Oryzias latipes: one gene and its partner. The protein of the gene in region 2 binds, or shares a complex with, the protein of the main gene of each other region. Links are inferred from orthologs where the notes say so. Each region holds a gene or a part of one and is shown on either strand. Other genes may lie near its edges.

Region 1 (3,279 bases), on a different chromosome or scaffold from region 2:
CACCGGTTTCGTTCAGGTCCATCTGCGGCTCAGCCGACCCGTCACGGTCCAAGCTGTGGAGAAGGCGGGCTCAGAGGGGGGGTTCAGCCACAGCCTGGTTCCGTCAGAGGAGCAGGAAGAAACGGACTGTGGGCCCACGGAAAAGAGAACTTCTTTTTATTTGCCTCAGAACTATATAACACATCTCCACATCAGCTCTCTGAACACGACCGAAGAGGTCATCAAGGGCCTGCTGAAGAAGTTCGAGGTGAAGGACAACCCCCGCAAGTTTGCTTTGTACAAGCAGACGCACCGCAATGGACAGGGTGAGCCCCCCAGCCTCTGTCCCTGCTAAACACACGAGGGTCATGCAATGGTTGTTAAAACATGAGAAAAAGATGTTTTAGACAGTAAAGAATAAGAACAAAAAAGAAAATCCTTCACTCAAATTTAGACTTTAGACAGATTCCATGTTATGTTCTTATCTTTCCTATAATTTTCTGTCTATTTGAAATCCAGATTATTTGCCGATCATGAATAAAAACATCTTCAGGGAGACTCTTCGCTCTTCGTGTGTATTTGATTTGACATTTTTTTAATGAAAATATGTTAACTTGAAAGTGTTTTCTGTGATATAAACCTGGTCCGTCCAGCTTTTCACCAGCGTTTCTCTCTCCTCTGTGCAGATCTGTTCCAGAAGCTTCCGCTGACCGAGCGACCTCTTCCTCTGAGGCTGATCGCAGGGCCAGACACGGAGCAGCTCAGCTTCGTCTTTAAGGAAAACGAGACTGAAGAAGTGGAGGTGAGTGAGCGGGCGGGGAGGCAGAGAAGCACGCATTCGGGATCGTTTCATGGACGCCTTTCGTCTGTTTTCGTCCCACAGTGGCACGCCTTCTCCATCCCCGAGCTTCAAAACTTCTTGATCATCCTTGGGAAAGAAGAGTCGGAGCGCATAAGAGCCGTGGAGCAGAAATACACTCTCTACCGAGAGAAATTACAGCAGGCCCTACAACAACATGACCCCTGACCCCACCTGCCACCTTTTCAACCCAGAGAGAGACTGGTTCCTCAGACCTTCAAACTTCTCCCTGTTGAGGCTCCACTCAGACAGACAGACCACACTGATCCTTCTCCTTTCTCAGGATTGACACGCGCTCCCTTAAACGTCCACAGGCCGGCTCCCTGAGGAGCGCCTGTGGGCGCGTAGTGTTTCTATTGCCAAGGACACAAACCGGGAAGACCTGGACTGCAGTTTAGCTTCATACTGATGTGAAGCTGTGCTGTTGTTTTTGAAGCCCTCCTCTTCGCTACCGTTACCGCTGCTGCTGCTGCAAGTGTTACTTATGCATGAGTCTCCACTCATCTACCCTGCACATAGTTAAATCTGAAGGCATGCTTTCTTTTTCTTTTTTTCCTACGGTTTGCAGGAGTGGAGGGACTGCCACGCTTTTTTTTCCCTGCTTTTTAAGGAAAGAGGTTTATTTTCATTCTCTGATTTTTCTCAGGGAGCATGTCTTTAGCTGAGAGGAGGAAAGATGGCCCTCACCTCCTCCTCGCACCACCTTCTTTTTATTGCATGCTCGTTTATTCCTTTATGCCCGCCTAAATGTGAGAAGATGCCATTTACACCTGCTCTCACCTGCAGATTCTAAAGCGATGACAACTGTGACGTTATTCCCCTAAATTAGCCTTACATGAACTCCACCTGCGCCGGACACGAGAGGCAGCCCAGGACCTTTACTCAGCAAACACTGTCACTGTGGGTCACGTGTGAATGTGGAAGGACACCAAAGCTCAGAGGAAGGGGCTTCAAAGGGACATGTAAGGTGGTGTACCAGCTTCAGTTTTGCACAGATGGACGCAGGTCTCACCCCTGGGGGGGCTGCGCATGCTTTGATGCGTCATTTTATCCTCCTGCCTTCTTCCCCATAGAAAGAACCATATATAAAACGTGTGATATTGGCTATCATGTACCAATGATATTTGTTATGCATATGTATACACTGGAAACAAGAGTGACGTGGTTTAGCTCTGCTTTTATGAATAATATTTTTGGTATCATTCCTGCTGGCTCTGGAGTGTGAGTGTGTGTGTGTGTGTGTGTGTGTGTGTGTGTGTGGGTGTGTGTCTGTGTGTGTGCACATGCTCATCCATAGTAATGAGGACGGTGAAAGGATTTAGAATGAATGTGTGTATTTAGCCCCAAATTGTCTTTTATCCTATCATTTCACAGGCAGGTGAAGGTTTGTTTGACGTGCTCATCGTCATGTTAAGGCGTCTCGTATCTTCTAGAGTTGAGATAAAAGAGGCCCGTCATCCATACGTACATGTTTGACTCTTGCCTCCCCCCAAAGCCCCCCAGCTTTCTCCCACTGGCAGTGCCTTTTGTTTCCTTCGCCCCTGTGTGTGCGTAGAAGAGGTGTTTCTGCACACAGGTGTGCCTCCTGGGCTCATGTATGAGTGCTTTTTGCATGTGTGCAAATCTTTTTTTTTTTTTTTGGGTGGTGCTGTTTGCATATTTTGTTTTTCCTCCAGGCTCCTTCTCATCTGTCCAAAGAGTCCTCTGTGGACGCGTGCGAGTGTGTGGATGTGTTTATTTATTTCACGGTTCACAACCATCCAAGGACATTATATAATGGAAAGACTTTTTGTTGCCTTTTTTATGTTTCTTTTAAAAAAATGTATATACATATAAGTAGATATGTACAAAATATTGAAATGAAATTAAAGAATAAATCTTTATTGAAAATAACTATTTGCTGTTTTTTTTACCATAAAGTCTGCACTATGATAAAAATCTAGTTTTTGGTGTTTTTAACATGGATGGAGGAATTTTATAAAGAAAATTAAGCTCCAAACTGTATTTCTGAGTATTACTTCTAATTGTTTTGAATCAGGAGCAGATGAAAAAAAGCAGCTTGGAAAAGAGCTCATTTGTGATGTACAAAATATGATGGGATTGGGGGGAGGGGGGGGCACAAGCTCCCTGCTCTGCTCCATTCTGATGCTTCCACTAGATCCAGGGACGTCTTTGTTATCCTCATCCGAGCTGGAATCTGGCTCCATTACCTAGAAAATGTGACTTTTTTTTTATTTTGGCTAAAAACGCTATAACAGCACGATGCCATGGGAATGATTTTAAAATAACTGGGACTTTAAACCTTCAAATGTAATCGGGAATGAAACACAAGAGGGGCAACTTTGCATCACTCTGTGTCATCAAAAGGAACAGATTGTCCTGTTTAGACATGACTTTTGGGGATTTGGTTGAGCTAGTTGTCTCATCATTGTGTTGATTTT
Region 2 (4,510 bases):
TGGAGCAGCAGGAAGGAGTCCAGCTTCCTGCTCAATCACAGCCCTTTCCCACTTTTTCTGCCGGCTGGAGAACTTGAAGACACAGAGTATGCTGGTCCCAGGATGCTGGGATTTAGGAAAAGATACAACATCAGACCGAAGAAGTTAAAGGCTCTCACAACTGTGAGCAGAAAGTGAAAGTTTCAAAATTTAAAAGCGCATCTTTTAATAAAAACACAAACATTCAACATCGTTTCAGCACTTAAAACCATCGATTTCTCGTTAAATCAAAGGAAAAACAGCACTTACGTCCAACCAGGAAGACGGCAGTCATGACAGTAAAAGAAGGGGGGCGGGGGCGAGAAATTGGAACAAATCCAGCTCTCTGATTGGACCCCCAAAGTTTCAGAGTTGAAATTGGAACGAATCAGGCCATTTGATTGGTTGAGAAGTTGGAACATTTGGAACATGTAATGAAAACATGATGAGTTTGAACCAAAAATACGTCAGCTGCCCTGGACACGGCATCTCTGGTGCAGCAGTCGCGGTCCACATAGATCAGCTGGGGGGAGGAATCTTGGTGAATTGACACGGCCTCATAAGCACAGTCGCCATCCTAAACAGACCCTCGTGTTGTAGCCATAAACCGTGAGCAGTCAGAAAGGCAATGGAAGAACGGGCATAGGTGGAGGTGATAGAAATTGCTCCCTCTCATTGCTTCAAGCCAGGAACGACTCACAGTGAGTTAGTTAGTGAATCCTTCTTCCATCAGCAAGAGCACTAAAGATGAAAGGGGGCTGGGTCTTTTAGCATGACAACGATCCCAAACACACTGCCCGGATAAAAAAGGAGTAGCTTCTTAACAGCAGTTCAAGGTCCTGGTTTGGCCTAGCCTGTCAGATCGCAACCCCCATAGAAAATCTTTAAAGGGGAATGGGCTAAAATACCAACAACAGTTTGTGAAACCCTTGTGAAGACTTACAGAAAACGTTTGACTGCTGTCATTACCAAAAGAGGGTATGTAACAAAGCATTGAGTTGAACTTTCCTTAATTGTTTTTTCTCATTTAGTCTCTCATAGTTGAGGTATCCCTGTGATGAAAGTTACAGGTCTTTCTAATCTTTTTAAGTGGGAAAACTTGCACAAGTGGTGGCTGACTTTTTTGCCCCACTGTATCGGAATAAATTGATATAATATAGGCCCTTTTATGGGAAAGAAATGTCTAAATGTGGTGAAACTGAGACATAATTTTCCTGAGGTTAATTTTTACATTCGGCGCCCCATACCCTTTAAATGAATCCCAATAAAATCTAAAATTAGTACATACTATTCCTCGGACATAAATCAATTCTTTGTTTCCAAAATAATGCCAGTGTAACGTGAAAACATTTATATAACTTTAAAATTACATCTTTAAAAATTAAACAAAAAATTACAGTGCAATTTGAGTTTGTTGTTGAAGTTGTTGTTTTTTTGCTGTCATTTCTTTCATAAAAAACACAGGCCACGTTTTCCCGACTTTGTAGGTAACCCTTGAAGCCGCGAGGTGGCGGTAATGCGTTAGATCTTTTGTGCATTGCCCTCACTAGATTCCACGAAGAAGATGAAGCGCCCATCTCAGCTGGCCCTCTGCTAGTTTCTGACAACAACGCGTCTTGTCTGCCGACAATGTTCACACGTTCGTTCCATAGTGACAAAACGGCAATCTTTTTTAAAAGCGCTCCTTAAATTTACGTTTTCGAGTTGATTCATGATGGAGCCAACCGCGCCTAAAAGGTTTGTAAAGATTCCAATTGTTCAAACTTTAGCATAATCGGATGCTAGCTGAGCCCCTACTAGCTAATGCTAAGCTAACTCATTTAGTCGTTAAACTCCAGTGGTTTTGTTTGAAACTTTCTATTTACATGGATATAGGCCCTACTATTCTGTACTTCCTCACTTCAAAATTGACGTTGAAATTTCGAAACGGTGACACATTTTTAATCACAATTTTAAGGAACAACAAAAAAGTGTACATTTTATAAAACGTCTTGCCTTTTGTCCCTACAGGCAAATTTAATGTATTTAAAACGTGCGCGTACAGCAATTAAAATAACGAAAACAGTAGCAAATTTTATTTACAAAATGTAATTTAATTTATTGCGTTCTTCAAAACCAGTTAAGTATTATTTTGTTATGCAATTACATCATAAGCATATAATGTACTTTTCTGTTTGGCATTATATTTTAATTTTAAATACATTTGAAACTTTAACATGTTCATAACCTAATATTTATAGAAATATTTTCTATCTGCTGTTTTTATTAGAGCTATAGTAACAAGGTAATTTCCAATTTTTGTATCAATAAAGTTTAATTCAGTTGTATTTTGTTGTATCATATACAGTACAATACATAAATCAGACTTTGCACACACAATTGGCTTTTTTATTTGGTTGCTTTGTTGGTTTTCCTCATTTTATTGAATTTTATATTTGAAATTAAATGTGAATTTTACTAATACAGTATCATTGTGTTGACAAAATAAGTTAGGTTTTAATACTTTTTATGGTTGACAGTAATCCTGAGTGAGTGAAACTACATCTTCTTAAAACCTTTTCACATGACGAGCAAAAACCCACAGGGCCTTAATCAAGTAACATGAAGTCACTTCCTGGTCATTTTTGAAAGCCGTTTCATTGGAGGATTTCTAGTTGTGCTGTTTTTAAGCCTGTTATTGAAAAACTAAGAAAACACTTCAAGTCTTAACTATTGTGTTGAAATCCATACTGATAGCAATAAACAATTAACAAATCTGTCTTTTTTGGTAGACATTTTATTTGTTTCTTGCTCTCTGTTAAATATGGTAATCAAAGCAAAATTAATTAAAACGTATTTATATTAATTGAGTAAATAAATCTCATATTGTTCCCTCTGCATTACCTAAAACTATCTGGGCTATTTATTATTTATATTGTCTATTGATGTCAATAATAAGATGACTTTCTTTAAACTGCAGCAAGCTGAAAAAGCTGAGCGAGGACAGCTTGACAAAACAGCCAGAGGAAGTGTTTGATGTATTAGAAAAACTTGGTGAAGGGTAAGAACTTTGATTCCTTTTTTCTTTTCATCCTGTACTTTCCTTTTTTACAGTTGATTGTTGTGTTATACATTGGTTTTGCGCACCCTGGTGTGGTGTGTGACTAGCTTTGGTGTGTGCTTAGTTCCTATGGCAGTGTCTTTAAAGCCATTCATAAAGAGTCAGGACAGGTTGTGGCCATCAAGCAGGTTCCAGTGGAGTCAGATCTACAGGAAATCATCAAAGAGATCTCCATCATGCAGCAGTGTGACAGGTGAGAATTCCAGATGTCTCTGCAAATGCTTATCCGTGTCATGTGGAGTACATTAGATGATCAAAACTATCCAAAGAATTAGTCAAACTCAAGCTCCTCTGCACTCTGATGTTTGCAGGAATACTTCCCTTTTTTTGAGGTTTAAATACAAACTTTGCTCTGAACCTCTTTCCAGCCCTTATGTAGTGAAATACTATGGCAGCTACTTCAAAAACACAGACCTTTGGATTGTCATGGAGTACTGCGGAGCTGGATCCGTTTCTGACATAATCAGACTCCGCAACAAGACGGTGAGCCTTTTAAGTTTATGGTTAGAATGTGTTGTAAGATTGATCTGTTAGATTTCTTCCCTACTTGAAAAGAAACACTTAAAAGAAGCAGAAATAATCCAATTTTGACTACAGTTAGTCTATTTGGGCTGAAGAAATAATGTATTTATTTATGACTACCCTGATCTTTTATTAACACCAAGGTTTATCTCGCCCTGCCCTTTTTTGTTTTGTTTTTGCTTTGCTTTCATGGTCCAGCTGACAGAAGATGAGATTGCCACCATCCTTAAATCAACCCTGAAGGGTCTTGAATACCTTCACTTCATGAGGAAGATTCATCGTGACATCAAGGCTGGAAACATCCTTCTCAACACTGAGGGTCACGCGAAACTGGCAGATTTTGGAGTAGCAGGACAGTTGACGGTAAACAAGAAGAAATGATCCACTTATGTTTATTTGATTTGTGTAACTTGGTCTGGAATTTTTTTTTTTGATCCACACAAATCATACTTAGATCTATTTTAAACATGCTCCCAATAACGATAAAACTGTTTTCAGCCAGCCAAAATCCAAAAACCTGTGTCATTTCCTAGGACACAGGAAATTCACCTCTGAGTTGCAGCGTGGAGCAACGCCCCCATTCCCCATCACCCATATCTGAGAGCTGTTTGTACTCTCCCTTTTGCTTACACCTCCTCACACCCCTAACCTAACATTATCGCTGCAACAAAAATAGCGAGCAATATTGGAACAATCCAACCGGACCAGTTTTGATCTAGATGCCAGCTCAGACGAGGAATACGAAGACGTTCGTGGATGTAGTCGTCTACAAGTGGATGCATCAGAATTAAGCAGAGCAGGAAAAAAGCTAAAAGAAAAACCCACCCTTTTCATCAGAGCATGACTTTAAAGCCAAATGATGTTCTTGTT

The links. The genes of interacting proteins can lie anywhere in the genome.
Region 1: the proteins of serine/threonine-protein kinase 3 (region 2) and rassf5 are in contact, whole or in part, in a crystal structure (PDB 4LGD), measured with the Homo sapiens proteins. The link is inferred for Oryzias latipes from reciprocal best matches to the Homo sapiens genes STK3 and RASSF5. Residues at the interface, in NP_006272.2 of Homo sapiens: Phe437, Phe439, Leu440, Leu445, Leu448, Gln449, Arg451, Leu452, Leu455, Asp456, Met458, Met459, Glu462, Ile463, Leu466, Arg467, Tyr470, Lys473, Arg474, Pro476, Ile477, Leu478, Ala480, Met481, Lys484, Gln488; in NP_872604.1 of Homo sapiens: Trp369, Asp370, Ala371, Phe372, Ile374, Leu377, Gln378, Phe380, Leu381, Leu384, Glu385, Glu387, Glu388, Lys391, Ile392, Val395, Gln396, Lys398, Tyr399, Phe402, Arg403, Lys405, Leu406, Ala409, Leu410, Ser413.

The regions. Positions count from the first base shown.
Region 1 is NC_019863.2:28,012,689-28,015,967, reverse strand, and holds the end of rassf5 (ras association domain-containing protein 5), read left to right. Parts: coding exon 1-305; intron 306-665; coding exon 666-781; intron 782-862; coding exon 863-1,006; 3' UTR 1,007-2,731; downstream 2,732-3,279. UniProt on the Homo sapiens protein: Potential tumor suppressor. Seems to be involved in lymphocyte adhesion by linking RAP1A activation upon T-cell receptor or chemokine stimulation to integrin activation.
Region 2 is NC_019869.2:24,049,759-24,054,268, reverse strand, and holds the start of serine/threonine-protein kinase 3, read left to right. Parts: upstream 1-1,569; 5' UTR 1,570-1,729; coding exon 1,730-1,755; intron 1,756-2,977; coding exon 2,978-3,058; intron 3,059-3,182; coding exon 3,183-3,311; intron 3,312-3,486; coding exon 3,487-3,601; intron 3,602-3,838; coding exon 3,839-4,003; intron 4,004-4,510. UniProt on the Homo sapiens protein: Stress-activated, pro-apoptotic kinase which, following caspase-cleavage, enters the nucleus and induces chromatin condensation followed by internucleosomal DNA fragmentation.